2 linked regions of the Yarrowia lipolytica genome follow. The protein of the gene in region 1 interacts with the protein of each later gene in a pairwise test. Links are inferred from orthologs where the notes say so. Each region holds a gene or a part of one and is shown on either strand. Other genes may lie near its edges. The genes, in order: YALI1_D28825g and YALI1_F21583g.

What was found.
Region 2: the proteins of YALI1_D28825g (region 1) and YALI1_F21583g interact in binary tests that used the Saccharomyces cerevisiae proteins (3 or more experiments, as listed by UniProt). The link is inferred for Yarrowia lipolytica from reciprocal best matches to the Saccharomyces cerevisiae genes NIP1 and PRT1.

Annotation. Positions count from the first base shown.
Region 1 is NC_090773.1:2,874,147-2,889,992, reverse strand, and holds YALI1_D28825g (uncharacterized protein), read left to right. Parts: upstream 1-7,558; coding exon 7,559-10,039; downstream 10,040-15,846. Other genes in the region: YALI1_D28890g (uncharacterized protein), read left to right, coding at 985-2,334; YALI1_D28842g (uncharacterized protein), read right to left, coding at 3,737-5,089, 5,554-5,621, 5,832-5,841; YALI1_D28782g (uncharacterized protein), read right to left, coding at 10,049-10,101, 11,675-11,822. UniProt on the Saccharomyces cerevisiae protein: Component of the eukaryotic translation initiation factor 3 (eIF-3) complex, which is involved in protein synthesis of a specialized repertoire of mRNAs and, together with other initiation factors, stimulates binding of mRNA and methionyl-tRNAi to the 40S ribosome.
Region 2 is NC_090775.1:2,149,527-2,165,149, forward strand, and holds YALI1_F21583g (uncharacterized protein), read left to right. Parts: upstream 1-8,863; coding exon 8,864-11,017; downstream 11,018-15,623. Other genes in the region: YALI1_F21504g (uncharacterized protein), read left to right, coding at 957-3,491; YALI1_F21540g (uncharacterized protein), read right to left, coding at 3,567-4,505; YALI1_F21547g (uncharacterized protein), read left to right, coding at 5,264-5,605; YALI1_F21567g (uncharacterized protein), read right to left, coding at 5,987-7,201; YALI1_F21612g (uncharacterized protein), read left to right, coding at 11,684-12,802; YALI1_F21647g (uncharacterized protein), read right to left, coding at 13,119-15,254. UniProt on the Saccharomyces cerevisiae protein: RNA-binding component of the eukaryotic translation initiation factor 3 (eIF-3) complex, which is involved in protein synthesis of a specialized repertoire of mRNAs and, together with other initiation factors, stimulates binding of mRNA and methionyl-tRNAi to the 40S ribosome.

The sequences.
Region 1 (15,846 bases):
CACCCTGTCGGTCAAATTTCAACGACTACATGAATCATCAGGCCTTGATCGCACAATGGTACATCTTTCTACGTTCTTACTGTCAATCTGTACGTGAAAGAGTGTACGCGAAAGAGGGTACGCGAAAATGAGGATCCGCGTCAGATATCAATCGCTAGGACTGGACTGAAGATGACTAAAGACTACGTTACGTTACGTACTACGAGCTTGGGGTGTATAGAGAGACTCGGTTGGCCAATTCCCCAGATCCACGATACCTCGCTAAAGCTCCTTCCTCCTGCCTATTCCTTCACTCTGAAGCTCTCGCAACTGACGTTCTCACAACTGCGACTCTCTCGATATTCTATCCATCCCTGAACCACCCCACGGACATTCTTTCTACAGTAATTATTGACAGATTTGAGTTCCATTTGGGGGTAAAAAAAAGTCGGCAGAAATACACAGTCTGCGACTATCACCCACCACTCGGCGGCTATCACACACTGCGGCGGCAATTCTTCCCCAATCGAGACATTGACATCCCACTCATCATTGAAATCCCACTCGTTATATTTATCACGTGTCTCCGTCCACTCCACCGAAATCACATGACTTGAAATCAATTTTTTCCTGCCCGTCCTGTCGTTGTCTGATATAGAGACCCCCACTCTCGCACGTTTTTGTCAAACTCAAAACTAAAGAGGAGAGAGCTTTCAGTAGACGTCTGAGAGGAGCTTTTGAGCCCGAAAAAAGCGCAAAAAAGCGCAAAACAAAACGCCAACCCCATCTGGATCACTTGAAATATATATTTCCATGTTATAAATCTCTCTAACTCCTTCACAGCCGCCTCCAACACACGCCATGCATCCTGCTCTCAATCGTGCGCTTAAGATTATCGATACTTTATCTTTAAACCCGCATATTATGCGACAAGTGCGTCATCACCACTTTTGACTCTCTACAAGTACAGCTCAATCCACTCATTTTCCAGCCAGAAAAATCACCATGAAACATCTCAAGTCTGTGGCTATCATTGGAGGAGGTCCCAGCGCGGCTCCGTGCATCAAGGCGCTTTTGGCCGAGAATTACTTTGGCAAAATCACCGCCTACGAACAGCAACCGGCACCTGGAGCAGGAGTATGGAATTACAACGGCCTGACCCGGCCGACACCGAACCTGCCATGCACTCGTGACATGCCCGCAGAGCCCATTGAGCACAAAAAGGACGGCTCCATCATCTACTACAACCCCATGTACAGAGATCTCAACACTAACTTGCCCCACATGTTGATGGCGTACAAGGATTTCCCCTTCCCCGAGGGCGTGGATTTGTTTCCCAAACGACAGGTTGTCAAACAGTACGTGCAGGACTACGCCCGGCATGTCGTGGACCATTTCAAGTTTGAAACCATGGTCACCGGCTTGAAAAAGACGGGAGACGTGTGGATGGTGGAGTCCAAGTACGTCGGACCCCATGCCAAGGAAAACGTCCAGCCCGAGCTCGAAACATATGATTACGTCATCGTATGCACCGGCCACTATTCCCATCCGTTTGTGCCTGACGTTCCGGGTCTGAAGGCGTACTCAGACAAGCATGAGGTTCTGCATGCCAAGTACTTTGACAACCCGGATTCGTATGTTGGAAAGACCGTTTTGGTGGTTGGAAACTCGTCTTCCGGCATTGATATCGCCAACCAGGCGGCAAAAACCGCCAAAAAGGTCATTGTCTCTGCCAGATCGCCTTCCAATGCCCCCACCAAGGGAAACATTGAGACTGTTGGTGTGATTACTAAGTTCCACGGTGATGATATTGATGTCGAGGGAGCTCCAGGAGTGGAGGGTTCGTCTCCCCAAACTCTCTCTGACGTTGATGTGGTCATCTATTGCACTGGATACTTGTATTCGTTCCCTTTTCTGCACTCCTACGTGCACCATTCAGACGATGACCTCATCACCGATGGAGTTCGGATTCGAAACCTCTACAGACAGCTGTTTTACATCAACGACCCATCCATTGCGTTCATCGGAATGCCCAAAAACGTGGTGCCCTTCCCTCTGGCTGAAACCCAAGCAGCTGTTGTGGCTCGAGTGTGGTCTGGAAGATTGAAATTGCCTTCTAAGGAGACCCAATTTGAGTCTCTGCGGAAAGAAGAGAAGGAAAGAGGCACTGGATCTGCCCATCATACACTGAAACACCCCCTGGATGCCGAGTACCAGCAGGCTCTCACTGACTGGCTCAAGGCCGATACCTACCCCGATCCAGACAAGGGCTTCTTTGGAGTGGAGTGGGATGAAGAGCGGTATAATTGGAGACGAAATGTCAAGAAGCCGCAGTTGGGAGATTTGAGTCTGTGACATCACCGCGGATCGGTGATCGGTTCGGATGTTCTACTGTAATACTGCTCTTGCTACTGGAGGATACTTCTGAAGCAAGATTGCTGGTATTATGACACTACAACAGCTGCTCTTGTTACTCGGAGATATCAGACGCTGACCTTACTGTGGCAACTTCAGATAAAACTTGTCATGTCAAGATACCAGGCTTATTGTATAGAATTCGTTCAGCAAGACTCTAAGAATTTCCTACATAGAATGACTAGAATACAACTCTTCATCTTCAAACATGTGAAGCCCCTGGGAAATGCAATTGGCAGAAACAATCTACTCGCACCAAATGCCAAACTTGCAATGAAGGACTGGAATCCCCTTCCACTTCTCTTACCCTAGCGTCAAAACATTGGGATATCGGATGGGATAAAAACTGATGCTTGTAGCTAGAGGTTGAACATTGCCACTGTAAATGAAACAGACGTACCAAGAGAGACGCCCACTCTGAAGTAGTGCCACTAAGCGCTGGAGTTGAATGTTAGTACAACAGCAAGAGGCTCTAAGAGTAACTCTCGATCTGACACTCCGCAAGCAAACGACCTCGTTCGAACAATGGCTATCAATTACAATTACAATCACAATCACAATACTGATCTCCCATGCACCAAGGCAAAGACTGTCTCCAGCTGACCATGCCCAATCCCAAACCCCCTCCCCCCACAAAAGGTACATACTTTACTGTACTGTGCTGCCAAAAGCAAGTCCACCCCGTTTGTCAGGTGGGTACCAAAACAAACAGGAATTCTTCACCTGATACGTGTCTCCAAAATCTCAAGTATTCTACCCGTAACTTCGTGTAATCTACAGCCTGCCACCCACTATTTGGCGCCCCACAAAAGAACACTTTTACTCGACTGACTGCACTGAAAAACTTTGATCTACTTAGAGTTCAAAGACCCCATATTTGGGCAGTCTCAAAAGGAGTTTGAAAGAGCCCCAAAAGGTGATTTCTTTGGCTGATTAAGTCATCACGTGAGTCCGATAATACTGTCTCTTTTTCAGCCGAAAACAATCACTCCAAACACTAAAATTGCCACTCACTCTTCAATATCTCCAACATACTTGCACTTGTACAGTTGCATGTTCTAAATGGGACAGCGATACCGACCAGAGAGAGAAAAACCAACGAGAAATATCCCCGAACAATTCAAGCCTAAAACGTTTGCTGTACTGTAGTACAAGTATGTACTTGTATGTCCATGAAACATCCCTTCTCTCCTTATCTCCTTTGGTTGAACATATCCTCAACTCGTGTTCACACAGCCAGCCAGTCACACATCCGCTTACTGATCTGCCTGTACATGTCCACTCCACCCACTAATTCAAACGTTTATTAATACATAATACGGCTTTTACTCTAATCCCCACTCTACATTCCAAAAGCCTTGCCCATCTGAGCAATATCACCCTCCTGGGCAAGAATCTCAAAATAATTGTTCATGGAAGTCACGGCGACAATCATGGGTGCGGCAGAGGCTCCAAGACCGCCAAAAATGTCGCAGAAGGCCACAATGGCGCCCACAACAGCTCCACCAACAGCAGCAGCCACGGGGATGACCTTGGCCAGCTCTCGGGGAGCAGACTGGGCTCGCTGGCCGACAATCACAATGGACTGGGCCTGGAACTGCTTGGCCACGTCCTTGGGGGCGGAGCCGGAAATCTCAGCCCAGTACTTGGAAAAGAGAGTGCAGCCCACAATGGTGTAAACAGAGTAGAGCACCATCTTGATGACATCGTATCCAAAGTTGTTGGGACTGATGTAATAGGCAATGCCGCCCACGGGAGAGCCGTCAGCTCCCCAGCTACCAAGAACCTGCACCATGAGGTTGTCAGGGAACTGCACGTAAAGAGACTGCGAGTAGATGAGAACGTTCTGGGAGAAGGCAGACAGCAGGAAGAGGCACATAGAGCCAGTGTAAAGCAGCTTGACGGGGAATGCGGTGGCAAGAGATCGCACTCGCGACGACTTGATGGGGATGTCCACCCGGAAAGTGTTCAGGTAGATGGTCAGCATGAACACGGCCACAGACATGTACAGCTGCAGCAGGTTGGGCAGGTTCTGTCGGAAGAAGGAGTTCTCAATAACGTATCGGTAAGAGCCGCCAAAGTTGAACAGTCCGTTCTTCCACAGACCCATGAGCAGGGCAGGGATGGATCCTACAAACTCCTGGTGCACCTTGAGCAGGGCAAGGTTCTGCCACATGAAGTTTTGGGAGACGGACAGAGCGGTGAAGAGACCAGAACCAGAGCCGAAAGAGTAGCCCTTGTCGACAATCTCGCCGAGCAGAATGAGCACGAGACCAGCGGCGGTCAGCTGGGCAACAATTAGAACCGCAGCTCCGAGAGAGAGCTCTGAAACAGCAGAGTCGGTTGAAATGGTACCGTAAGTCTGAGCGAAGAAGACGAGGAAGATGGCATGGAAGAAGGTGAGCAGAAGAGCAAAGATCTTCTGGCCGCTCTGGAAGAGCTCTCGGTCGGCTCGAATGTCAAAATTGACATTAAGGGCCTGGAAACCTCCCAGGATCTGGAAGATGATTCCAGAGGTGACCATGGGACCCACACCGAGCTCCATCAGAGTGCCGTGAGAAGAGGCGGAGATGGCTCGGGTAAACGAGTAGGGGTCTGAGGTGGAGGCGTGGGCGCCGTAGAGCGGGATGCCGGCCATGATGAAAAAAGTGATGGCGATTCCGACAGTGTAGGCGATTTTGTCGTAAAAAGGGAGCTGGGTTAGTATGTAGAAACCGAGAGCAGGGTAGCAGTTAAGCAACTTAGCGAGACAATCTGACTGACGTGAACCAAGTTGATCACAGAAATACAATAGAATCGTTTACCTGGAAGTAGCTTTGAGAGGAGCTACAGCACTGAGTTGATCTGCAGTGGCAACGTCTGATGATGAGATCCTAACACAACCATTGAGGTCGTTTGGATCGGCAACACCATCGCTGATCACCTATAGTGCGCTAGCGTCAGCACATCGGGTATCATTCCGGTCGCATTTGCCATGTTGTTGATTCAAAATGGACATGTTGAGGGGTTACACATGTTGGGCAGGGGTTGATCATCGTCAATCAGTACCATCAGAGACTAAGATCTCTTGAATTCGTCCGTGCATCCTGTCATTTCTCTCTCTCAATGTCCTCAATGTCCTCCACTTGTCATCGTCGTCTCTCGATCAACAATACTCACCTTTCGAGCAGGAACAACAATCTCAGGCAGAATGGCCTGGAATGGTTTCACCAGATCGAGCATACGTACTGTGTTAGTCAGGGCTCAAGCAGCGTTGGAATCGGCTTTTGAGGAGTGTGTGTCGGATGTTATTTTTTGGATCCTTGATGTTTGTGTCGTTCTGTTTGTGTGATCCTGTGTTGTTGGTTTTGTGTCGCATCGTTTCAACACATAAATAGACCGCTTCCCCCTCTTTTCCTTTTTCCCTCTTTACCTTCTCTCTTCTCTCTGTCACTCACGTCCACTCATTTTTAAATGTGTTTTTGAAGCCCCCGAGTCGTGAATCAACAGTAGTGGCTCTAGAGACGATGGTTTTGGGCACAAGTGAGTTAGTGCGTGTGGGTTGGCAAAGGTTGATTCAAACTCTAATTTGAGCTGTCACCTTGTTTTTTTTTGGGCTGGTCGATACACACTGTCAAAGAGCCAGTATAAGAGGAGGCTCGTTTTTCATGGGCCAGTTTATGGCGCACTTTTGAAGACCCCAAAGCCGAAATTAAAAGCATAAACCCCAACAAAAACTACTAACAGAAGTCACGTGACAATCTGTGCGCGTCGCTTGTCTTACCAACCCCAACCCCCCACTCCAACAGAGACTCCCTCCAATACCGCCCCTCCTCCCTTCTCCAGCCTTCTCGCTACTCCAAACGAAATTTAAAAAAGTTCGCTTTCCTCGTATATATGACAAACCTTACTTTGCGCCGCCGTGGACTGAACACATGGACCTGGGAGTGGGAGGAGATGGGTCACGTGAGCCCTAGGAGTGAGAGGAGATGGGTCACGTGAGCCCTAGGAAGTCGAGCCGGCCCGGGCCCGCGCTGATCTGGGGGTCACGAGACTCCCAGAAGGAGCCGCTTCTCTCGGGACCTCCCCCCCAAAAAAAAACAAAAAAAAAACAAAAAAAAACAACAAAAACGCGGGTCCAACCAATCACGTTCATTATCAGATCAAGTTGCGGATTGGAGATAAGGGTACTTGTAGGAGGTCTGTAAGGGAAGGGGGCGTGTGTTGTCATGTGACAGGATCACGTGACCATGCCGATTGGGTATTTTTCCGTGGGTCGTTCTCGTCTGTACTTGTACTAGATTTGACAGCTTTGTACGTGCAGGTTATGACAGGGTTAGATGCTTAGGTAATGGGTTTATCCAGATGAAACTGCGGTTCAAGGTGCGATGTATGACACATCACGTGACCCATAATTCACCGCGCTACAAGTATATTGGTACATTGGTGTACCATACACTAGATAGTAAGGTGTTCTCTTCCCTGGCATGTCAATTGTATGTTGTATCCTTCTCTTTTCTTCTGATCCATGTTAACATTGGCGGTTTGAAACCCGCGGATGTTCTTTTGGGTCCATTTCACATTCATCTATGGTTGCACCAGTGTTGCGGGACCCTGTCTTTCTCCCAGCCAGATGTTGGTGAGACTTGGTGAGACTACCACTGGTAGCAAGCACAGTGGGTGATTCGACCAGAGGACATCAATGGGAGGTGAAAATTATAGAGTTCGACAGCAGGCAGGAACGAGTGGGGTTAGAAAACGGCGAAAAGTGGCCGAAATGCAAAGTGGACGACACGGTTGTATTACCAGTCTCTCGGGGATTACGACTATGTAATTTATTCCAAGATTGCGTCTATAAATAGTCCAGCAAAAGGTCTTATCTCAGTCGAGCCCTCCCAACTGAAAAAAATTAAGTTGTCCAAGATGGGTGTGGAAGGAGATCGATCTGGGATTTAGACAAGGCTGGAAAATTGAGATAACGAGGGATATCTGCCATTATTGAGACATTGCAAGTGTAGGGAAGTTTCGTCTCTCTTGTTGCGACTTTCCAATCGTGAGATATCACGCCGTTGGCTTGGAGGTAATAAGCTTTCTGCAAGGTTACCCTGATGTAAAAAATCAGTGCGGTCCCAGACCACCTAAAAATTTCCTCCACATACATACAACACCACACACCGATTGCAATATGTCCCGATTTTTTGCTGGTGGCTCCGACAGCGACGACTCGTCTTCGGACGAGGATCTGTACGGCTCTGGCTCCGAGTCCGGCTCCGACTTTTCCCAGGACGAGCAGGACGGAGGAGATGATAACGACGATGACATGAGTGACGATTCCATGTTTGCTGACGACTCTGACGACGACAGCGACGACGACGAGGACCTGGGCGGCAAGGGCGCATCTTACTTCCTCAAGTCGTCCACCGTGGCCGACTCGGACGATGAGGAGGATACCGGTAAGAAGACGGTGCTGTCTGCCAAGGACAAGCTGCTTGCCGAGCTGGCCAACTGCTCCAAGCTGATTGACAACGGCAAGCGAATCAACGACTGGGTGTTGATCCAGGGCGAGTTTGACAAGCTCAACAAGGCCATGGAGCGGTTCACCAAGCAGCGACATGGCCTGCCCCCCAAGGTCTACATCCAGTGCATTGTTGAGCTGGAGGAGTTCCTCAACACCCAGCTGGAGGACAAGGCTGGAATCAAGAAGATGAACGCGTCCAATTCGCGAGCATTCAACACCGTCAAGCAGCGGGTGCGAAAGAACAACAAGGAGTACGAGGCTGCCATCGCAAAGTACAGCAGTGGTGGTGACGTGGCAGAGGAAGAGGAGGAAGAGAACAAGGAGGACAAGCCCAAACCCCGGGCCAAGGATGAGTTTGTGCTCACCGCTCCCTCCCAGGCTTCCAATGAGGAGTTCACCACCGTTGGCAAGGCTGGAAAGGCTCTTGTGTCCCCCACCGACATGTTCAAGACTCTCAAGACCGTTCTGGAGAGCCGAGGTAAGAAGAACACCGACCGGGAAGACCAGGTGCGACAGCTGGAGAACCTGCTGCCATCTGCCTCTACCGTCTACCAGAAGATCTCTGTCTACACCATGCTTGTGTCTACTCGTCTGGATCTGTCTTCTGCGTCTGCTGCTCTTGCTCCCGAGAACTGGCTCAAGGTTGTGGGCGACCTCAACGACCTGCTGTCTATTCTCGAGGAGAACATTGATACCTATCACGTGATTGAGACTGCCCCCGAGATTGAGGACGTTGAGAAGGGCCCCGTTGCCCGGGAAGACGGCGTCAAGCTCATTCCCGGCTCTGTGGCTTCTCTGGTTGAGCGTGTGGACGACGAGTTCACCAAGGCCCTCCAGTTCATGGACCCTCACACTACCGAGTACGTGGACCGTCTGAGAGACGAGACCAAGCTGTACCAGACTCTCCTCCGAGTGCAGATGTACATTGAGCATGTCTCCGACGAGAAGGACACTCTTGGCCTCGCTCGAATCCTGGTTCGACGAGTCGACCATCTCTACTTCAAGCCCAACAATGTCATCAACATGACTGAGCAGATTGCCTGGGGTGGAGTCAAGGGCGATTCCAAGGCCACTCCTCGACCTACAGAGAAGGACCTCACCTCATCCACTTACCCCACCACGCTCATTTCGAACATGTGCTCCGTTCTGTACAAGCAAAGCAACACTGTGTTCCGAACAAAGGCCATGCTGGCTCACGTCTACCACTACGCTCTGAACGACGAGTACTACAAGGCACGAGATATGTTCCTCATGTCCCATCTGCAGTCGTCCATTGCCTCTGCTGAGCCCCAGCTGCAGGTGCTATTCAACCGAACCCTGGTGCAGCTTGGTCTGTGTGCTTTCCGAAGCGGACTCATTGCCGAGGCCCAGCAGTCGCTCCAGGAGGTCTGCTCTTCTCCTCGACTAAAGGAGCTGCTCGGACAGGGTCTGGCGAAGTACGCCCAGGCCGGAGTTGTCGACAAGCAGCGAGTGCTGCCCTTCCACACCCACATCAACCTCGAGCTGCTGGAGTGCGTGTTCCTGTGCTCGTCGTTGCTTATGGAGATCCCCTTTATGGCTGCCCACAACACGTCTATCGACGCTAAAAAGAAGGTCATTTCCAAGCTGTTCCGACGAATGCTCGACTACCACGAGCGACAGGTCTTCTGTGGCCCTCCCGAAAACACCCGAGACCACATTATGCAGGCTGCCAAGGCTCTGCAGCGAGGCGACTGGGAGGCTGCACGAGATCTGGTCTGTGCCATCAAGATCTGGAGCCTGCTCCCCAACCCCGAGGCTATCAAGGCTATGCTCACTGACAAGCTCCAGATTGAGGGTCTGAGAACCTATCTGTTCACCTACTGGAACCACTACTCAACGCTGTCTCTGAGCACTCTGGCCGACATGTTCCAGCTGCCCGTTAAGGATGTGGCTGCCATTGTCGCCAAGATGATTGCCCAGGAGGAGCTTCCTGGATCTCTTGACCAGAAGACCAACTCGGTCGTGTTCACACAGGCTGTCCAGCAGACCAAGCTGCAGCAGCTCGCCGTGGCACTGTCTGACAAGGTCATCCAGCTGGCCGAGCGAAACGAGCGGCTCGTGGCTGGCGGGTACCAGTTTGACAAGATGACCCAGCCCCAGAAGAGAAAGACGCAGAGAGCTCGATAGGCGAGGGAGTTATCTGAAAACACGAGCGCAAGTGAGTGTGCAAAAATGACAGCAAGAGAGTGCTGAATAGTTGAATAGAGCATGTTATAGGAGTTCCAAAGTTCTGAGTGAGTGCTTTGATGGACATTTAGTAGACTTTGGGAAAAGTTGAGCTCATTGTAGTGGCATGAGAGGTGATTGTAAAGAGAATGTAGAACTAAAAGAATGGTTAGGGAGACGACTACAGGTAGTAATTGTGGAAGTTCAGAAGGATACTGGAAGAAACTATCAAGTGATGACTGGAGCAAATAAAATGATGTTCTGACTGTCCTCACTAGTCCTCACTAGTATAGTATATGCAGTAATTTAGTATATCTGATTCATTTCAGCTGGCTGAAAGACGTTCAATGAGAGAGGGGCGGGTTCACCAGATGTTGGGGAATTAGAGCTGCGAGGTTCTAGTGCAGTGATTATGAAAGTGAATTGCTCTCTTGGACCAAGTCCATGTTGAGTATGGCGTTTTTCTTGCAGTCTCCAAGAGATGGTCTTCAGCAGCGACACATATAGTCCTCCAGCCACTCCATTGTGGGCATTAGTGGGCCAAACAGGATAGAGCGGGCCCCAAAACGACACTTTCTGGGTGGTTGATGAGACAAAGTATGAAGACGTTTGACACGAGTCAACAGCAGCTGTGCTTGTGTAGTCAACTTCTATACTCATTGAGCCAACCGGGTTATTCGCACAGGCACGAAAAGAAGTTTTTTCCCCCGCACTACAGCAATACTGTACATACTTCGAACGCCTGTCTTACATATACACAGGAACCAATGATGCGGTATGCTTGTAATATGAATTACATGTACCGATCAAGCAGGGAACGATACTTTTGATGTTTCTACAAGCAGCTAGAACCCGGTTTTGAGAGGTTTCGCTTAGCGGCTTGGCACTCATCTCATATGCATACGATGACAGAGATCACTGACACATGGACTCTCACTCTCATGGACCAGACGGAACATGTTAAAAACAGAGAGTTTGCAAGAAAAAGATGGACGGAGATTCTAGGGAGAGGTCCTGGGAGGGAACGGAATAAGACATGTCAGCACACTCCTGCTTCTGATCACTACGCTGAGCTCTACGTACTGAGTTGGACTTTCTCATCAACTTGTGTTGTGACCCCACTATCTGACACAGTGAACAAGAAAGCCTGGGTTTTCTGATACGGGGCTCTGCGGAAATTGCTAACTCTTCATCCCGAGCGGCATGACACAACTATGGGGCTCGTTACCTAGGGAAGTCAACGTTGGCAATAATGTCAGCAGATCTTCCAGACCATCTCCAGTTTTGCCTATATATATATCCTGCAAAGTCCGCATCTACTTTTTTTTTTTTCTGCATATACCATTCATTTTAATTATAACTTTGCTGTGAAAGAATAACCTTTGAAATGAATGTACGCTTACACGAATATTACTAATTAAACACGTTTAGTGTCATGGTCCATCTACTACACATGCTCATCCCAAACTTTTATTCAAAGTCCAACAAACTTATCAACTACATTCCAGTGTTTACTCCTCAACAGATCTATTACCAACTAATCCCAACTAAGCCCCAAGTTGCTCTTGTTGTTCCTGTAGTACCCCTGCCACTGACAAACTTGGAAAATGAGATCACTAATGTCGAACTGGTACTTGAAGTGTCGCATGAGAAATCTGGCCGAGTCGCAAGGCGTCTCTTTCATGTGGTTCAAGACATATGTAGCCACATACTGTTCATGTTCGTCAGTCCAACCCGTAGGCATCTTGAGAGTATCGTCAAAGAGAGTGTGTGCCGATAATGAGTCAATGGGTAGATATATATACCTATGGAAGCGGCATTGCAGCCTCAACTCATCGTAGCCTCCATTCACCTTGCCTCAATTCACCTTGCGTCAGTTCACCGTTGACATTATCTCCATAGCGGTTGTCTCAGTTGTTTGAGGCTGTAGGTACATTGGTCATTTTGGCGCTTGAAATGTCCTGAAAACAGAAATATATGGACATAAAAGTATATAAAAAGAAAAAAATGAGCATAAAATCCATATCACAATTGCCAAGAAAAGGACGGAGTTATTGATTAGTACTGTAGCTGCGTTTTGATATTACGAGTTGGTGAGTGGAGGGTAGACTGAGAACAAGAACGCTACAGAATATTCTAGAGAAACTATGGCGAGATGAAAAGTTGATTTATTGAATTACAGTATTGAGAACTGTCTGATCATACCAATTTCAAATCATTTAGCCACATACCAGCGGTTCTAAGAACTTGTACGGACCACTCGACTAAGTGTCAACTAAATGTTAACTAGGCCTCAACACGAAGTGGAGACAACACTTTTACGACCAAAGATGGAAGGAGGCTCTTTTTTACAACCGTGTTATGTCCTAGAATCAATCAAACACTACAATGTGCAAATATAGAACCAGCACCCCCATCCTGGTCATCCTAGAACCACAAAACAACCACCCACAATTATTACTTGTTCCCTACTAAATTTCACCGAACTACATCTTAACAAATCACCGAACTATATCTTAACAAATCACCTAACCGTATCTCAACAATGCTCAGAGGTGGCTCTCCAAACACATGTCCAGAACATGGTAAAACTCCTACCGGACGTTGAAATTGAACACGCCAGAGGCGATCTTTCCGTCAAAAAGGAGGTGAGAACAAATTCCGGCGCACTTGGTATCTTCCCCAGGTCACAGTTGGTTCTTCAGCTGTGTTATCGGATGAGACGAGTGGGGGTTGTAGATATATATGATTGTAGCTGTTGCATATGATTGTAGCTGTTGTATGTTAGAACGGCAAATGTGCGTTTTTCGAGGCCATATCTTCAACAGTGCCCAAACATTTCCGATATTTTCCCTCAATGGGAAATCTGTTCCGGTATCGTGGGGTCTCAGTTGGAGCTGAAAAGTTGGAAAGAGAAGATTTGTTGTCACAATGAGATCAGGTCTTTGGGGACTCCAGCTGCTCTGACTGTGTATTCGGGGAAGCTGTGTCCTGGATCGACTAACCATGGTAACTAGTTAGTGGTATCATTACATTTTGGAGTGGGTTGAGGTCGAGTTGGGACGCCAGACAGGAGGAAGGATCTCGTATTGCAACAACGCAACCAAGACATTAATAGGACTCTATTGGCAGGGACGAGGACCTGCTTATGATGCGCTGATTAGGGCTGGGCCGGTACCTGAACATCAGCGAGCAGTACCGGCCCAGCCCTTGAAGACGTAGTGTCCCCTCACAATATCCAAGACGGTTGAATATACATTTCCAACACATTATCTGTCAGTAAATGCACAAAGACCTTTTGGTCTCTTCATGGTTGGATTCTTCATCGTTAGACTCTTCATTGTTGGACTCTTCAATTTGGTCTCTCCATCGTTGGACTCTTCAATTTGGTCTCTCCATCGTTGGACTCTTCACGGTTGGACTCTTGGCTCCATCAGTTCTACACTGTCCTGCCCCTGGCTCCAAGTAGCCTTTCCGAGTCGATATTACCAGAATAAAACCTCGAAATGACCCCGAAATCTTCAATGTGGTTGCAAAAACTGTCGACTTCTCAGGACACTCCCCCAGTAAACGTCCACATGGCTGGAGACATCGATATGTTGATTTCCCCAAGATGCCATGATTGTAGTAATTGAGGAGGACGTCATCTTGTGTTATCGAAAGGTCTATGTGGTTAATAAGAAGAATTCTCATCACTTTTCAGCTCCAATTTTCAAAAACGTGAAAGACTGTTCTCCACATGGCGGCAGGCGGTTGACTGGAGACAGGCGAGACTGAGCAAATGCGACGGTGGTAGTGCGATGGCGTATCTTATTGGTACGAGTATTTGGACTTTAGATGTACAGAAGGGCTGTTACTGGATCATTTCAGCTGCAAGATCAGTTGGCCATCTCGGACCGCTACTAATTGACGACAATTACTTGATCCATTTGTTGAGTTTAGTTGAGTTTAGTTGAGTACTTTGAACAGAAAAATCGGATATTCAAGTGTACATGTACTGCACCGCACATATACCTAGACTCCCCCTCAACTGATCAACTGATTCAATGGCATCATTTCAACCCCAAACCTGGAAAAGGAGTACATGCTAGTGTCACGTGATCTCATGAACCAACAGTGGCTGAGTAGACTGTCTCTGTACGATCTTGTACCGTTTCAAACACCGTTGACAAAGCTGTCAGTCTGAACAACTCCTGTTCATCTACATAACCACAACGTAGGATCTGCCATCTAGTCACTTTTAACGTCTACGGGAAAAACTTAAGAGGTAGTGCCATCATCACCCTGGAAGAGACGTACATTGTAGTACAATTCCGACTTGTTCTGCCGTGTTGGTGGCATCTACTTGGTTCTAAAGTCCATCATCTCTACTTCAATGATGACTTTACCAACTCGTCAGACGAGTAGGACTCATTCCTGAAAGACTTGCCATCTGCGGTAACCCAACTGAAACCGTCGCCAACGTTGAAGATCCATCATGTTGAAGATATGTAACACGTGAAAGACAAGCGTTTTCGCAGTACAGGGTCCAAAAAGGGATCGAGGGTTGATTATCAGATGAATACATGTAAGAGCTTTAGAATGGTGACACGTTTTCTTCATTCAAGGCTCGATATACATCTCTAGCTACAACTTCAGTTGGTATGGTGACGCAGGGACCAAACGACCATCAGTCCAGGATATGAAAAATGAGAAGTGACGCTACAGGAATATTTACAACAGACATGTTCAATAAAATACCTCCAATACAGTGGCATAACAGGCAACGTTGAAGTTGCACAACTCTCAAAGCCATATCTCAAAGCCATTGCGTCTTCCAATCAGACCTCGTGGGGGGGGGGGGGAAAGGGGGGGCTCAACTTTGTATCGTGATTCAGGAATGAAACGACTACTTGACCAAACGAGTTCAGTGGAGACAATACGAGTCTGTAATCAGTTTTTTAGGGGAAAAAGACATTATACAGCTATCAGTACATCAATTAGAATCTATAAATATTTCTTCATCGTCCAACAATCTCCTGCTCAACAGTTGATGGTCTTGGTGATGGTCTTGGACTGCACCTTGGTGATGTTCTTGGTGACGGTGATATGTTTGGGCTTGGGGCACTTCTCGTCAGGGCACTTCTTCTTCATGAGTTGGTGAATGTCCTCGGGGTTCTCGGCCGAGTCGGCGGGGGTGAAAGCCATGGTAGTGGCGGGACTAGGAGCAGCCTGCTGGGCAGCGGCCAGAGAGAAGAGAGAGACGATAGCAAGGGTCTTGAGCTGCATGATGAAGTTAACTGGATAACGAGCTTTCGAGGTACGGACGGGTATTATATATTGATTTTGGCATAGAATATGAATCAATATCGAATCGAATGTGTTAATCTATGCAACCAGATATAACTGTGGTTGACTGCCGAAATGAATTGTATGCCGTGAACATGGCCAATGGAGTACACTGCAAGTAATCTCACCGGAGGAGGGAAGGTGAAAGTGAAACGGGCGACACTACAACGTGGAATGAGATCAATTATGAATAGCATCCATGGAATGAGAGACACCAGTGGTTGAAGCAACAACTAGCAGGGATTGGTGTTCGTCAAGGAGTTCTGGAATGTCGCCTTTGAATCTCAACTTGAAGTTCGAATTGAAGTTCGAATTGAATCTCGACTTGTCCACTTGTCTCGACTTTGTGTGGACAATACCCACTTCACATACTCACTGACTGAACATTACAGGTACTGTAGCACAGAGTCGGGACAGTACAAGTACAGTAAAGTACATGC
Region 2 (15,623 bases), on another chromosome or scaffold:
TGGATTACAGTATGTTAGATAAGCATTGATAAGAGGCAAGCAGAGTGTAGCTAGTGTGATATTCCGAGATATTGCATGAATAGTACTTGTGGTAGTGGTTGTGGTTGCGGTTGCGAGTCCAGGACAGAACTGGGGCTTTCTACAACATTACCAAATCAATATCCCTCCTGTAGCAATCTCCGAGGTACTTAGATTGTAGATGATAAATCGACTATACCATATACAGTACTTGATTGCCTCGAAGTAGCATCTCCGAGACGCACTAAACCGCTATGTACTAAGGTCGAATGACCGCTACTACAAGTACAGCGTGTATATAGCGGGGGGAAGAGGGCGTCAACCGCGGGTTACTTGGTTTGTAATCTGTGTCCATACGGCTCGGATGCTCCACATGTGTTGGAGATTGAGCAGTTCCCGAGACATCACTAGCCCAGCTTTCCGACACCAACAATGACATTGTCGCTACGCTAAAGAGATGCCAACTCCGAGTGGGTACCAGTGCCGTGGATCTAGGACTCCAAGGTTTCGAGATTGGTTCTTGAACGCCTTTAGTTTCGGATATCCACCATCGGAGCCGAGTACAATATCGGCATTAAAAGTGGTCCAAGTACAGTTCTTGACTGTACCTATACATCCCCGACCTTTAAGAGAGCTGACAAGACATGATCAACCTCCTACAACTCACCAAGTTCATCAAATATGTTCCAGCAGTTTTCTCTTGACGGTCCTTACAAGTCCCTCGCAACCCCCACGGAATAATAACACTACTGCGCTTCTGTTGAGCGGGGTATCTTAGTCTCTCAGTGGACTGGCATGTTGTCTTTCGGAATCAGTTAATGAACCAACTTCGACACTAACATAATGATATCTACTAGATACTGGACAAAGAGCGCGGCTTCTGTAGCCTGCCAATGGACATAAATAGATGATAACGACTCATCCGATGTTCCTCAAGAATGATCTTCTCTCTGCAACTACTACTGACGACGGCACTAGCGGCCTCTTCGCCTGACTGGTACCCCACACCCGAAATCGGTTCAATTACCAGTGATTGGGCCGATGCTCTTGGTGAGTCCATGGACATCCTGGCCCAATTGACTCTTCCCGAAAAGGTCAACATCACCACCGGTACCGGATGGAGAGGTGGGCAGTGTGTTGGAAACACAGGGGCTGTTCCTCGTCTCGGAATCAAGGGCCTGTGTCTCCAAGACGGTCCTCTGGGCGTCCGTTTTGCCGACTTTGTCAATGTCTTCCCTTGCCAGAACGCAATGGCCGCCACCTTTGATCGTATCCTAGTTCACCAACGAGGAACCGCTATTGGACGTCAGTCTAGACTCAAGGGAGTCGATGTTCATCTCGGACCAGTGGTGGGACCTCTTGGACGACACGCTACCGGCGGAAGAAACTGGGAAGGTTTCTCCCCCGACCCATATCTGTCTGGAAAGCTCGCCTTCGAAGCAATTCTTGGAGTCCAGGAAGAGGGAGTTCTTGCAACCATCAAGCACTTCATTGGAAACGAACAAGAACATTACCGGCGAGCCGAAGAGTGGAGAGACGGCTTTGGATTTAAAGACCTGAAGGACGCCGTCTCTTCCAACATTGAAGACAGAGCTCTACATGAGTTGTACATGTGGCCGTTTGCCGATGCTGTTAGGGCTAATGTCGGCTCAGTCATGTGCTCCTACAACTACGTGAACGGAACCCAGGCTTGCCAGAACAGTGACTTGCTCAACGGAAAGCTCAAGTCCGAGCTCGGTTTCCAGGGCTTTGTCATGTCCGACTGGTTTGCTCAGGGAAGCGGAGTGTCTAACGCTCTGGCTGGAATGGACATGAGTATGCCTGGAAATGACGTTGATGAGTTAGAAACTGTCTTCTGGGGAGAACAGCTGACCCGAATGGTTGCCAACGGTACCCTTCCAGAAGCCCGTCTCGATGATATGGTTCTGCGAATTCTGACCCCTCTCATCTACTTTGGGATCGACGATCGAACACCCAACTTCTCCTCCTTTGTCGACACTACAGTGGGAAGTCCCCACCCCGCTGCTAAGCACTCCAAGAAAGTCAAGGATGTTATCACCAACTACCATCTCGATGTGCGAGACCAGTTTGCAGCCAATGTTGCTCTTGATAGTGCTCGAGGAGCTGTTGTTCTGCTTTTCAATGACGGTATTCTTCCCCTGAAGAACATTTCCGCTATTGGAGTATTTGGAGTCGGCTCTAGACTTGGCCCCAATGGAGCTGTTTGTGGGGAAAACATGCAGTGCTCAGACGGAGCTCTTATCGAAGGATGGGGAAGTGGAACTGCTTACCCTACGGAGTACGAAAGCCCTTACGAAGCTCTCCACAAAAAGGCTTCTCTACTTGAAGTGTCAGTGACAGGAACCACCGAGTCATGGGATATGAGACTTCCTCTTGAGCTGGCTGGAGACACTGACGTGAATATTGTTTATGTATTGGCAAATTCAGGAGAGTCTACTGCCAACGTTGATAAGAACCTTGGGGATCGCCGAAATGTCAGTCTATGGCACAATGGCGATGAACTTATTAATACAGTTGCCAGTCAGGGACAGACTGTCGTTGTTGTCACTACGGTTGGACAAGTTGACATGACCGCTTGGCTCAACCACCCCAACATCAGTGCCGTTCTTCTGACTGCTCCTGCTGGTGATTACGGAGGAAAAGCCATCGCTGATGTGTTATTTGGAGAGGTTAATCCCTCAGGAAAGCTGCCTTATACTATCGCAGCAAATACTTCTGATTATATTCCTATTGTCACCAAGATCCCTCGAGATGGAGCTCCCCAGTCCGACTTTGTGGAGGGAATCTATCTTGACTACAAGTGGTACGACAAGTTTGAAAGGACTCCCCTCTACGAATTTGGTTACGGTCTGTCATACACCACCTACTCCTTCAGCAATCTGCATCTTGATGTTAAGGAGATTAGTGAGTTCCTTCCTCCCCGGCCTGTTCCTGTACAGGTTACTAAACCCAAGATGACCAATATCGACATTGAGGACCTTTATGTCCCCAATGACTTTAAAATGATTGACGGTCTTGTTTACCCTTGGATTCTCAACGCCAGTGCGCCCCTCGCGGACTCTCAGACTCAGTTCCCCTTTGCAAATGGAGCTGGACATGTCAGTGACGCTTCTGGAGGAGTGGGTGGTCACCCCTGGCTTTGGTCTAACGCTGTTACTGTCACTCACAACACCACCAACTGCGGTGATGTTGCTGGACGAGTAGTTTCTCAGCTGTACGTTGCCTTCCCTGAAACCCTTATCGACTCTCCTCCGGTGCAGCTTCGAGGATTCGACAAGTCCAAGCTCCTGAACCCTGGTGAGTCTCAGATGACCGAGTACAACCTCAACTGGCGAGATCTGGCCATTTGGGACGTGGAACTGCAGAGCTGGAGAGTGCAGCGAGGCGAGTATTCCGTGTACATTGGTCATTCCAGCCGAGAATTCGAGCTATGTGAGACTTTCACTTTGTAGTAGTCAGTCACCCGTATTAACTAATCAATAAATCTATTATAAATGCATCCCAATCCTTCTCTTTTATATATCCCTCTAGTTCTTTCTCTTCATCTCGACCGCTCGCTTGTATGGTGGGCAAGTAGGGCTCTGAACGGGGTCCAAGCTGACTCGAACTCCCTCTCCACTAGGGAGAGTGTAAGTAGCGTCTGAGTCGTACTCCGACAGGTCGCCACAGGCCACAAAGGGAGCGACGACCCGCTCGGAAATAGGCAGAGGGAGCTCCTTGTTGACCATGACGCCAGTAGCGAGATCGGGAGACCATCCCGATCGAGGCTTGTATCCCTGACACACGATGAAAGACTCGAGAGAAGAGCCTCTGGAAGATCGGGGCTTTGCACAAGTGACCTGCTCGAACAACAGACCCAGCTGGAAGTACATGAGATCAATATCTCGTCCTCGGAAGATTTTGGCGACAAAGTTTCCTCCGGGTCTCAGTAGCTGGGTGGTCAGCTGAAGCGCAGACAGAATCAGCTGTGCCTGTGTGTACTCGTCGAGATCGTGCAGACCAGTGACATCGGGAGCTCCGTCAGAACACACAAAGTCGGCAGGCTCGCCTCCAAACTCGTCCAGAATCATCTTCAGAGTTTGAGGATGCGTGATATCGGCCTGGATAGTGGTGACACCAGCAATGGGAGCCATGGGTTGCAGATCAACAGACACAATCTTGGCCTTCTCCATGGTGGATGATTTTTGAGCAGTAGATTCCCCGGTGACAACCTTGCCTCCAAATGTCGACCCAGCCACCGTCTTACCGCTGCCAGCCTCGATACCTCGCTTCTCAAACAGCTCTCTGCTCAGCACCTGACTCCAGGACCCAGGAGCAGCACACAGATCCACAACTCGCTGAACACCGTCAAACAAGTGGAACTGCTGATCCAGCTGAAGCAGTTTGAAGGCGGATCGCGCTCGCCAGCCCTCCTCCTTGGCTTTTCGGTAGTAAATGTCTCTCTTGTCCTTGCTGCTTTTTCCCATTTCTGTCGAGTGTAGTCAGAGTGAAAAATAAAAAAGCTAATCTGAAAGTTTGATAGTGGTGGTGATGCGAAGGCGGGGGTCTACAATGTCTACAATAGTTGCATTTGACGCGGCTTTCTATAAAAAGAAGTGCAAACAGCTCTGTCTCTTTAAGTGCTCAACAATCGAGTCCATTTGTATTTTCAGCTAGTGCGTTTTTTTTTGCATTTCTGAGAGGTATTATTCTTACTAATCGAAGGTGGAAATCCAAACTGACTTTCTTATAATTTAGTTGATAATTAGTTAAGAAATTAAAAACTCTAATATGCACACTACAATGCCCTCGAAGAGTCTACAGACTGTATATTCTCCATCTTTATGGTCAGCCAAGTAACTAGTACACTACTTGGACATTTCTCATCTCATCATTACACCCTTGTCTGTCAAATTACGGGAGAGCATTTGTAATGATGCATGCATTTAGGTTCAGAGAGCGCAGTGCGGGGTGTTCAGAGATGGGTCCTAAAAGTGCGCTTTTAATCGACAATTTAGGAGATTTGGCCATTAATATTACTCAGCGGACCTTTCTGTATCATGTGACATCCATATTTCACCTCTGCAATGCTTACTAAGTCAACTAATTACTCTCCTTGTCCCCTCCGATATTTGCCCCCCGATAACCTACTTGTTCGGTTGGGACTACAACCTAAACCACCTTGAAACATCACCACTGCAAATTACTTTTTCCGCATCAAAAACTACACACACCCACACACACAATGCTGCGACAAATGATGAACTCCCGGCTCTTTGCCGCCCGACCCGCGTTTGTGCGACCCTTCTCCACTACTCAGATTGCGCGAAATGCCTCGTGGAGACGTCCAAACGAGCTGAACGACTACGAGAAGCAAATCAGCCAGATGCTGACCGACGAGTTCAAACCCGTGAGTCTGGATGTGCGGGACATTTCCGGCGGCTGCGGCTCCATGTTTGCCATCCAGATTGTGTCCGACAAGTTCAAGGGCATCCCCATGGTCAAGCAACATCGTCTGGTAAACGCTCTGCTTGCTGACGAGATCAAGCAGTGGCACGGTCTGCAGCTCGTCACCAAGGCTGCTTAGAGGAAGCGATAGGGATATGTGCATCAACAAAGAGATGTTAGACAAGAGCCTGTGAGCCTTGAGATGAGGATATGTATATAGTCAAGGAGACATTGGACGATATGAGAGTTGCTACTGAACCACCTGTGGCTAGAAGAGGAGGTAGGGGCAGTAAGTACATGCCAGTAGTGTTGTTGTATGGATATGTCGTTAATAAATGTTCTACCGGGAGTGTCTGTATCTTACTACAGAACAGTGTGATACACAGTTCTTTGCCACCTTGATGACATGAATGGCCTTTTGGAAAGCATATTAATGTAATGATTGCACACAATATGTACAGTTTGTAGCGTTACCCCCTTTTTATTTATTCCTTGTCATATCCCCCAGTTCGTCCTTCTCTTAAATGATGTCGTCGTCACTATCACTATCTTCTGCCTCCTCGCCGAGCTCCTGGAAACTGGCGTAACTGAGCATGATGAAGGCTCCAATGATGATAAGACCTCCAATCACGCCTCCAGTTCCAATAGGCGTGTCGAACAGAAGCCAGTCGACAATAGCCACCAGGAAGATGGTCAACAGGGCAGCGACCGATCCGATAACGGGAGAAGTCAGGGCCATGAGAATCAGAAAAGCACCTGAGAAGATGGCGTTGGACGCAATGTTGGCAATCATGATGCCGGCAGCTGATCCATGGGGCAGCTCAAACGGCTCCAGGCCGGTCCAGTGAAGGATGGGAAGCAGCAGCCACAGGAACAGCAGAGTACAGAGACCGATACAAAAGGCCACCACGTTGGCAAAGGCAGCCTGACGACGTGGGGAGATGGTGTTGGGAGGGCAAGCCAGCTTCTTGTACATGACTTCATAGAGACCATAGAGAATGGCTCCCACTCCGATAATGAGGTTTCCGATACCTCTGTGGGGGTAAGAGACCTCGCCTTCTCCCTCGTTAGTGTCCCAGTAAGACACAATGAGCACACCAATAATAGCGACCACCACACTGACCACCTTGGCAGGCTTGAGAGACTCTCCCAGCATCGGCACGGAAAAGGCATAGGCGAAGAAGGCCGAGCAGTTGTAGATGGCGGTCAGGTCACTGGGGGTGGTGAGGTTTACGGCAATGTACCAGGAGGATCCAGCGAAAGACAGGGCCACAAACAGCCAGAAAGATGTGACCATAATATACTTGAGCGGATGTTGACCGGAGAAGTCACCTGCGTGTTCTTGAGTGGCTCGGGCGGTGTTCAACACGAGCTCGTATTGCCGACGCAGAAAGACTCTCCATGGGGTCTTCCATCGCTTGAAGATCTTGATGAACAGCAGCTGTAATGGTAACAGAAAGACCCACGACGAATGTGTCAGGTACAGCATAAAGATGGGTTTCTTGTACTGCAGGTTATGAGCCACGTAGCCGGCTGTCTCGGTCTGAGCCACAAACGCGATCAAACTGACCACCAACGAGATTCCAGCATATAGATACCGTTTGTCGGGTTTGGTCTCGGACTTGAAGCTGTGAGAGGGACGTCGATGTTGAGAGGTCTCACGTGTGTCATAGTCGTGGACGTGGTCACGAGAGTCGCGTCCACCTTGCTCCAGAAATCCGTCTCGTTCGCTCATTTCGTTCTAGCAAGGGACTTATAGGCGAATTATCCAATTATCGGAGACCGAAGACGTTGCACGTTTCAGCATTCGACAGATGCTGCACTGCACGGAAACCCTAACCCGAAGGGTTTAATGTCGTGTCAAACGCGGCCTGGAAATCTCCTTTTTGGAGAGATTGGTCACGTGTATGATAAATAATTCCCACGTGATGCGGTGTATAGCAATGGTGTATCTTTTGGCAGGCCCTAGGTCTTATCTGGATTGGTCAAAGGTGCGGTTAAGCGAAAACTTTAAATCACGGGTTGTGCTGGAGTTTTAACTTCTGGGGGAGGACAACACAGGTTATGAGTTTGGGAAGGAGACGAACTACACGTGGGGACGTACAGTAACCGAGAAAGTCCTCCCTATGTTGGAGTCCTTTAACTTTATACTCTCGTGCATATTCATTTCACGTGACTTGAAGAATCATGACATTCTCGACTGTAGGTTACTTGCTTGTACTTGTATGTCCATTGTAGCTTGGGGGCTTTGGCTCGATATACCTGTGAGTGCGGTCACGTGACTTGTCAGGGGGTAGAAATAAATCTGCTGTACAAGTACAAGTACAATTGCCACCAGTATAGAGTCTTATTCCCGAACGAGACTGCTCCTTGGCTCTTAAAGGTTAGGACGGCTATGGAGAGCCCATTTAACCTGTTTAATGATGTCGACAGAAGGTCAACAAAGGTCATTTGGCATATGTTCTCTTAGAGGAATCGGTGTTTCAGATGGCAGATTATACATGGGTGGAGGGGTTAAAAAGCGCTACTGGGGACTTTTCCTGAAGGAGGGGGCTTATGACTACTTGTACTTGTATCTTGTACTTGTATCTTGTACTTGTACTTGCACCACCACGTTGATTTGCATTCAAGAAAATCAGATGTTACGAGACTGTTCGTCACTTGGTCCATGAGTGGACTGTCTATTTGAGAGATGCTTGGAGACTGCAAGTACCAAAAATAAAGCAGTAAGAAACTATTGAAATACTGTTTTATACGATTGAAGTACTTACGGTACGAAGACGGTATGTACTTGTGATAGACCAAGCTTGCTCAAACATTCTTCAACAAACATTCTTTAATAATGTTAACTAAGATCCTTGATCCAAGTAAACCAAACAAGACTTCAGTACAGACTTCAGTACAATATATACAAACACTGATATCTGATATTGTCGTTAATTATGACCACTTCTGAAAACCGCAACTCTTCCATACGTTACACGCTCGACCTACTTGTAGACGTGCTCACAATTACCGGTTCTTGTTATTCCACTCACTCTCACAGATGGCACCAAGCAACCCCGACTCAACCCCGACTCATTCTCAGAGAACGATTCAACCTGTCTAATAATGCACCGATCTCAAATCAGAAAACTGCACCCCCCTCATATCACACACGTGTCAATATTTCGCGTCCATGATATCCATATCACGTGACCAACCCACGGTATTGCTAATAGCCACCAGAAAACAAACTACTGTACAGTATGCACATGAGCTCGGTCCTGATCCTGATGCTGGGTCCATTAACATTAAGGTTTGTGTTACCCTCTCTTGGTGAAAAAAAGCTGCGTGTGCGATTTGAATCAAAGGGTAAAATTATAGGCCCTTCATACCACCACCACCACCACGAAAAATGACTGTGGAGGATAACCTCGATATTGACTTTTCCGATCTGGAGGAGAAGTACGCTGTCAACGCGGACGAGGGCTTTGAGTCTTTCATCGTTGTCGATGGAGCTCCTGTGATTCCCCAGGCCAAGCAGGCAGCCCTGGCCAACGTCATGAAGAAGTTCTTTGGCGCTGTTGGCAAGATCAAGGAAGACGGCATCTTTATTCCCTTCGACGAGGCCACCGGTAAGTCCACCGGATTTGTCTTCATTGAGTACGAGACGGGCGAGATGGCTGCTGCTGCCGTCAAGTCTTTCCACAACAAGCAGTTTGACAAGAACCATAAGCTGCTTGTCAACAAGCTGTCCGAGGTGGAGAAGTACGGCATGCAGTACGACACTCTGAAAACCGAGGAGTTTGTCGAGCCCGAGACCGAGCCTTTTGTGGAACAGGGACATCTGCGAAGCTGGCTCATGGACCCCCAGGGCCGAGACCAGTTTGTGCTCCATCGAGGAGACACAGTCGGAGTCTTCTGGAACAAAAAGGGTGATACTCTGGAGGCTGACGTTGACCGAGAGCGATGGACCGAGACCCAGGTCTACTGGTCTCCCACCGGTACTTACCTTGTGTCTACTCATACTCAAGGTGTTCAGCTGTGGGGTGGCCCCGACTGGGCTCCTCCTATCTGCAAATTCCAGCATCCCAACGTCAAGATGGTGCAGTTTTCTCCCTGCGAGAAGTTCCTTGTCACCTGGTCTAACGTTCCTCTCGTTCTCCCTGATGACGAGGAGAAGCGAAAGAGCATTCCTTTTGGCCCCGCTGACGAGGGCAAACAGATCATTGTATGGAACCTCGAGACTCGACTTCCCGTCCGAACCTTTGCTATGCCCCCGGAGAAGAAGGGCGCCTCTATGTCCTGGCCCATTCTCAAGTTCTCTCCTGACGACAAGTACGCTGCCCGTATGATCCCCGGAGAGCAGCTGTCTATCTACGAGACCGAGACCATGTCTCTGCTGGATAAGAAGTCCGTCAAGGCTCCCGGTATCGTCGACTTTGAGTGGGCTCCTGCTCTTGTTAACCTGGAGGGACGACAAAAGTCCGCCACTGAGTCTGTTCTCTGCTACTGGACTCCTGAAATTGGCAACCAGACCGCTCGAGTGGTCCTCATGAAGGCTTCCAACAAGGAGGTGCTGCGAACCCGAAACCTGTTCAACGTGGCCGATTGTAAGATCCACTGGCAGGACCAGGGACGCTTCCTGTGCGTCAAGGTCGACCGACACACAAAGTCCAAGAAGTCTACCTTTACCAACCTCGAGTTCTTCCGACTGTGCGAGCGAGGAGTGCCCGTCGAGGTTATGGAGCTCAAGGACACCGTCACCAACATGGCCTGGGAGCCCCACGGAGACCGATTCGTCACCATTTCCAACTCGGACTCCACCACCAACTACGACGGTCCTCTGCCCGCCAACCGACACACTCTGTCCTTCTACGCTCTTGAGCGACACAAGGGAACCCAGGGCACATGGAAGCTGATCAAGGCATTTGACAAGAAGAACTGTAACTCTCTGTTCTGGTCCCCTAACGGTCGATTCCTCATCACTGTCATGATTGAGGGCTCTAACTCTATCGATCTCGACTTCTGGGACATGGACTACGAGGGTGACCGAAAGCACGGTGACAAGGATCTTCCTGCCAACCTGCACTTCCTCGGCTCGTCCGAGCACTACGGTATCTCTGCTCTCGAGTGGGATCCCTCTGGACGGTTTGTCGCCACCTGGTCTTCCTACTGGAGACACCACACCGAAAACGGATACAAGATCTGGGACTTCCGAGGCCAGCTGCAGCGAGAGGAGTCCATTGACCGATTCAAGCACTTTTCCTGGAGACCCCGACCCCCTACTCTGCTCTCCAAGCAGCAGAAGAAGGATATCCGAAACAACCTGGAGGAGTACTCTCGAAAGTTTGAGGAGATCGACGCCATGGAGGCTTCCGAGGCTTCTCGAGAGCTTATCATGCTGCGGAAGCGACTGCTCGAGGAGTGGACCGCCTGGAGAGCCCAGACTGACAAGAAGCTCGAGGAGCTGGGTCTTGTCGAGCCCGAGCCTGCCGAGTCCGAGTACACCACCATCGAGGAGATCAAGGAGGTTGTTGTCGAAGATAAGGAGGAGGTTTGCGAGTAATCTATTCGTGAACTATTAAAATCGGTCGTCGTATGCGACCATAAGCAAAGAGTTTAAAACTACTTACGATTGTATGAGAGATGTTGTAGACAGGGTGTCCATTGTGTGCCCTAGATATCGTATTGTACTGGTGCAATACCAGTAGTATCGGTCAAGGAAAGTTGCAGTAAGTAGGTACTGTACATACTGTAACATTAGTAGAGAATATACATACGACAACTTGTACAGTACCCAGAATACTTCTCATATACAACTCATTGATACTTGGGTGCCAGTGGTAGTGTACAAGTATAGGCAGCTGGATCAACAAATTGTTGCTTCAGTGTTGTATGAGAGATTATATATAGTCTTCGCCTGAATCCTGCCTCTACCGCCCGATGTTTCACTTCTGCAACAGTAGCAGCCAAAAAAACGTATACTTGGGCAGCTAGAGAGAACACTCATTCCCATAGTCTTGCTTTGTCGATGTTACTCCGCCAACAAAATCAGATTGGCTTGAACATACGCCTTGCATATTCTCTCAACATTCGCCCTATTGCTTACCGTTCAACATCAGCTCTCATAGCTCCGGCACTAGTTGTACAGTAGTTCCAGCAAGATCATCTGCGATCTAAACTTTTTTCAGTTTTTTTTTGGACCAGCATCTCACCACTATACAAACACATCATGGGCAAACGAAGCGGATCAGGAGACGCCAACAAGCGCAACAAAAAGGCGCGGTACTTGCCCGGAGCCATCAAGAATGTGGAACCCCGCTACCAGGGAGTGTACGTAAGTTACACCCGAGGCAAGGAAAACATGGCCAAGAACGAGGTGCGACTGATGATGAACGAGTGGTGCGACAAGCTGTATGGAACGACTGTGGTGGAAAACGACGAGGAAGGCGACGACATTGAAGACGTGGACGACATTGATAAGGCCATGGCTGCCGAGGTGGCTGCCATGAAGGATACCAAGAAGGATCTCATCACTCCATTGCCTCTGGGATGTGAATGCATGTTATTTGTGCGAACCAGAAAGCCCGTGGTGCCCGTGGACTTTGTCAAGGCCATCTGCCAAGGAGTCAAGGACACTGGAAAGAAGTCCACTCGGTTTGTTCAGCGTATGACTCCCGTCACTCTGACTTGCAGTGCTAGCAAGCCCGAGCTGGAGAAGCTGTGTGATATTGTTCTGGGTCCCCACTTTCACCTGAAGGAGGGTCAGAAACCGCTCAAGTACGCCATTCGACCGACGATGCGAAATTTCGACGGCATGAACCGAGACGAGGTTATCCAGTCAGTCGCTTCTCGAGTGGGCCAGGACCACGGCCATTCTGTCGACCTCAAGAACTACGACAAGCTCATTCTCGTCGACTGCTTCAAGGCCTCCATTGGAATGTCTGTTGTTGGCAACGTTGAGGAGTACGAGGGACTTGCCAGATTCAATATTGAACAGCTGTGGGAGCGACACAATGAGGCCGAAACAGGCACCAGTCGAGTCAACAAGACCGACCAGACGGTGAAGGACATAGAAGATGAGGCCGAGAAGGCCGTGTTGAAGGAGGAGATTCAAAAAGAGGCTGATGAGACCGAAGCAAAGGCTGAGAAGGCTCTCAAGGAGCTGGACGAGCTGAAAAAGGGAAACAAGGATTTGGAGGAGGACAAAAATAAGACGAGCATCCAGGTCGATGAGCTGGAAAAGGACGCTGAGAAAAAAGTGCTCGAAGGTGAAGTTGATGAGGTGATTGACGAGGCCAAAAAGGTGAGAGAAGATGTCCGGGACTTGAGAAAGGAAGTGTCTGAGTAGTTTATATTTAGTATTTATGATATCTGTCAATGACAGAGTGACTGGAGCGAAGATGTATGCTTCTGACACTTGAAAGAAACCATATGCTATGCCATCTGTAACAAACGACAAGAACATCTAAAATTTACGGTGTATTGTATGTAATATACCTACAGTATATACAGTACGAGCACTGGACTGTACTGGTAGTGGGTGTATTATTATTGTTTCATGCAATATATTCATTATTCATAAGGTGTCTATGTAAAAGGTTGACACATGCAAAAGACTGTTAGTAGCGATGGTTGTTGTTTTTGGTTTTGAGTGTGGTCACTCTCTATTGAGTGTCACTAACAAGGGCTTCAGCCAGAGATTCAAAAACAGAGGAGGTCAGAACCTGACGAATAGAGGCACGCTCCTCAGGATCCACGGTCAAACACTTCTCCAGAAGCTCAACCCAGTCGTCGTTGCCGTCACCCAGCTTGCTCTTAAGAAGCTCCCGGTCCCATTGAGCGTTCTGAATGAGACCTCGAAGCTTGGGAACAAAAGAATGGGTGAAAGGCAAGTTACCTACCAGGAGGGCGTAGACCACCACTCCATAGGACCAAATGTCGACGGAAGGATGGTAAATGGGCTCGGCTGTAGAAAGCAGCTCAGGAGCAGCGTAGGGAAGGGAGCCAAGGTTGTCTCGCTTCACCGAGCCTCCCTGAGAAGAGGGAGTGGAAGGCACAGGAGTAGCAGTACCATTGGCGGTGGTAGTGCCCCCTCTTAGAGTAGAAGAATAGGTGGAGGGACCAATGGGTCGGTTCTGTCGTCGAGAGTTCTCATGCTCCTCGTCCTGGTTGATGTAGTCAGACATGCCGAAATCGCACACCAGCAGGTTGTACGAACCATCATCCTGGGGGTCCAAGAGACAGTTTTCAAGCTTTATGTCTCGATGGACAATGTGCATGGACTCATGTAGGTACGACATGGCACAAGCCAGTTGGAAGGCATATTGTCGAGCAGTCTCCACATCAATGCCCTGTCGGTTATTCTTGACCAAATCAAACAGTGTTCCTCCCATAATCTTGGAGGTGAAGCAGTAGATGGCTCGGTTGTCCTCATAGACATACTCCAGATCCAGTACATTAGGGTGTCGAAGCGTGCGCCAAATGTTGACCTCCTGCAGCATCTGCAAATGTTCCTCGGACGGGACAATTGCACTTCGGCTTGTATCGTTAATACTGCCAACAGAGTTGGAGTTGCGTCTAGAGTTGAAGGCAGAAGAGTCAGCAGACTCCATACTGGAGAGGTCAGACTCGCTGGTTCGAGCAGCCAGCCGGGCGTTCTTCTTCACCACCTTGCACGCCTTGGGTTTGTTGGGCTCTCCTCCACGAAGAGACTTGCAGTCGGCCTCGTAAACGTCCGAGAACCCTCCGTATCCAATCTTCTGTCCCAGAGTGTATCGTCCAATCTCTTCACCAGTGAGTGCGTCAGCAGTCAGAGAAAATTCTGCGTTGCCAGATGGGGTTCCGGCCACCACTCCCTCGGGCTGACTGCCCAGGGTAGTCATGTTGCCCATGTTCACGGAGGCAGACCGAGACACTGAGGGCGAAGAGAACTTGGCGAGAAAGTTCTGAGCAGGCGAAGAGGCTGCAGAAGAAGCAGAGTCTTGGGTCGAGTTGAGCAGGGTGTTGTTTCGAGACCGTCGCTTGGAAAAGGGGATAGCGGGAGGGGGACCCACAGAGCCGCCGTAGGAGTTCTGGCCAAACGACTGCGGGGAGAACAGTGAGTTTGCAATATGGTCATCCTTATGCGAAATGGACATAGGCGACGACACTGTGTTAAGGGGCGACATCTGCATCTCGGCAATGGCAGATCGCAGTTTCTTTCGGGTGCTGAAGGGCAAAGACTTCCAGTCTACAGAAGCAGCGGCCGAAGCAGCGAGGTCGACAGAACTGGAGCCCGTGCTGATATCCCTGAACTCTCCGGTATCCGAACGTCGAGGAGAAGCCACCGAGGCTGGTCCCGACAGGTTGGTGGTTGCGTCGCTCTTGGTGTCGCCCTGCTGCTGCGTGAAGTCCATGCCGGGGACATATTCGTCGGACTCTCCAAAGGGCACACGTTCTCGGAACGTATAGTCACTATCTCTGTACGACTTGGAGAGTGTCTGCGACAGCCTTGAGAAGTGTCCCTTGCCTGCTCCTCCTCCAAGCACGTCTACGGGCTGTGGCTGTTCGTCCGCCTTGAGGTTGTTGAAAGTGTTTGCCTTGGCGAATCGCGAGGTGTACTGGCACGGTTTCTGTGGCGACTGCGTTTCTGCGTTCATGTCTGTGTCGTTGTCATCGTCGGTCTGGGGCTCTGCTGGTGGCGAGTTGAGCTGCATGGGCGAGTCGCACTCGAACCCCTTTGCTACCGTCATGGCATCGTCGGGGTTGCGGGTGATGCCAGTGGTGGGTCCTGATTTTCCAGGAAATAGAAAGTCTTCCATGGCGGTGTGGGACTTTGTGGATGTAGCGGTGTAGCGATGTACGGTCGTAGTTGTGGTTGAAGTGTCGGGTTTACTCTTGTGTGTATCGATTGGTATCGTCTGTGTATTGTGTGTATTGTGTGTATTGTGTGTATTGTGTGTATCAAGAGTAACTTGCACTAAGGTGGAGCAGATGAAGAAAGAAAACCTCCGTACTTACTGTAGTGTTTTATTTCATGTCCGCAGCAGTAGCTTTGTGTTTCACACCACCTCAGCTTAGACTTAACACTAACATACCATACGGGCCCAATTCACAGCCTGCGCGCACCACCGGATCATTGTCTGGAAACTCTATTGAAGATGCACCGCAGGTTTGGTGCAATATTTATT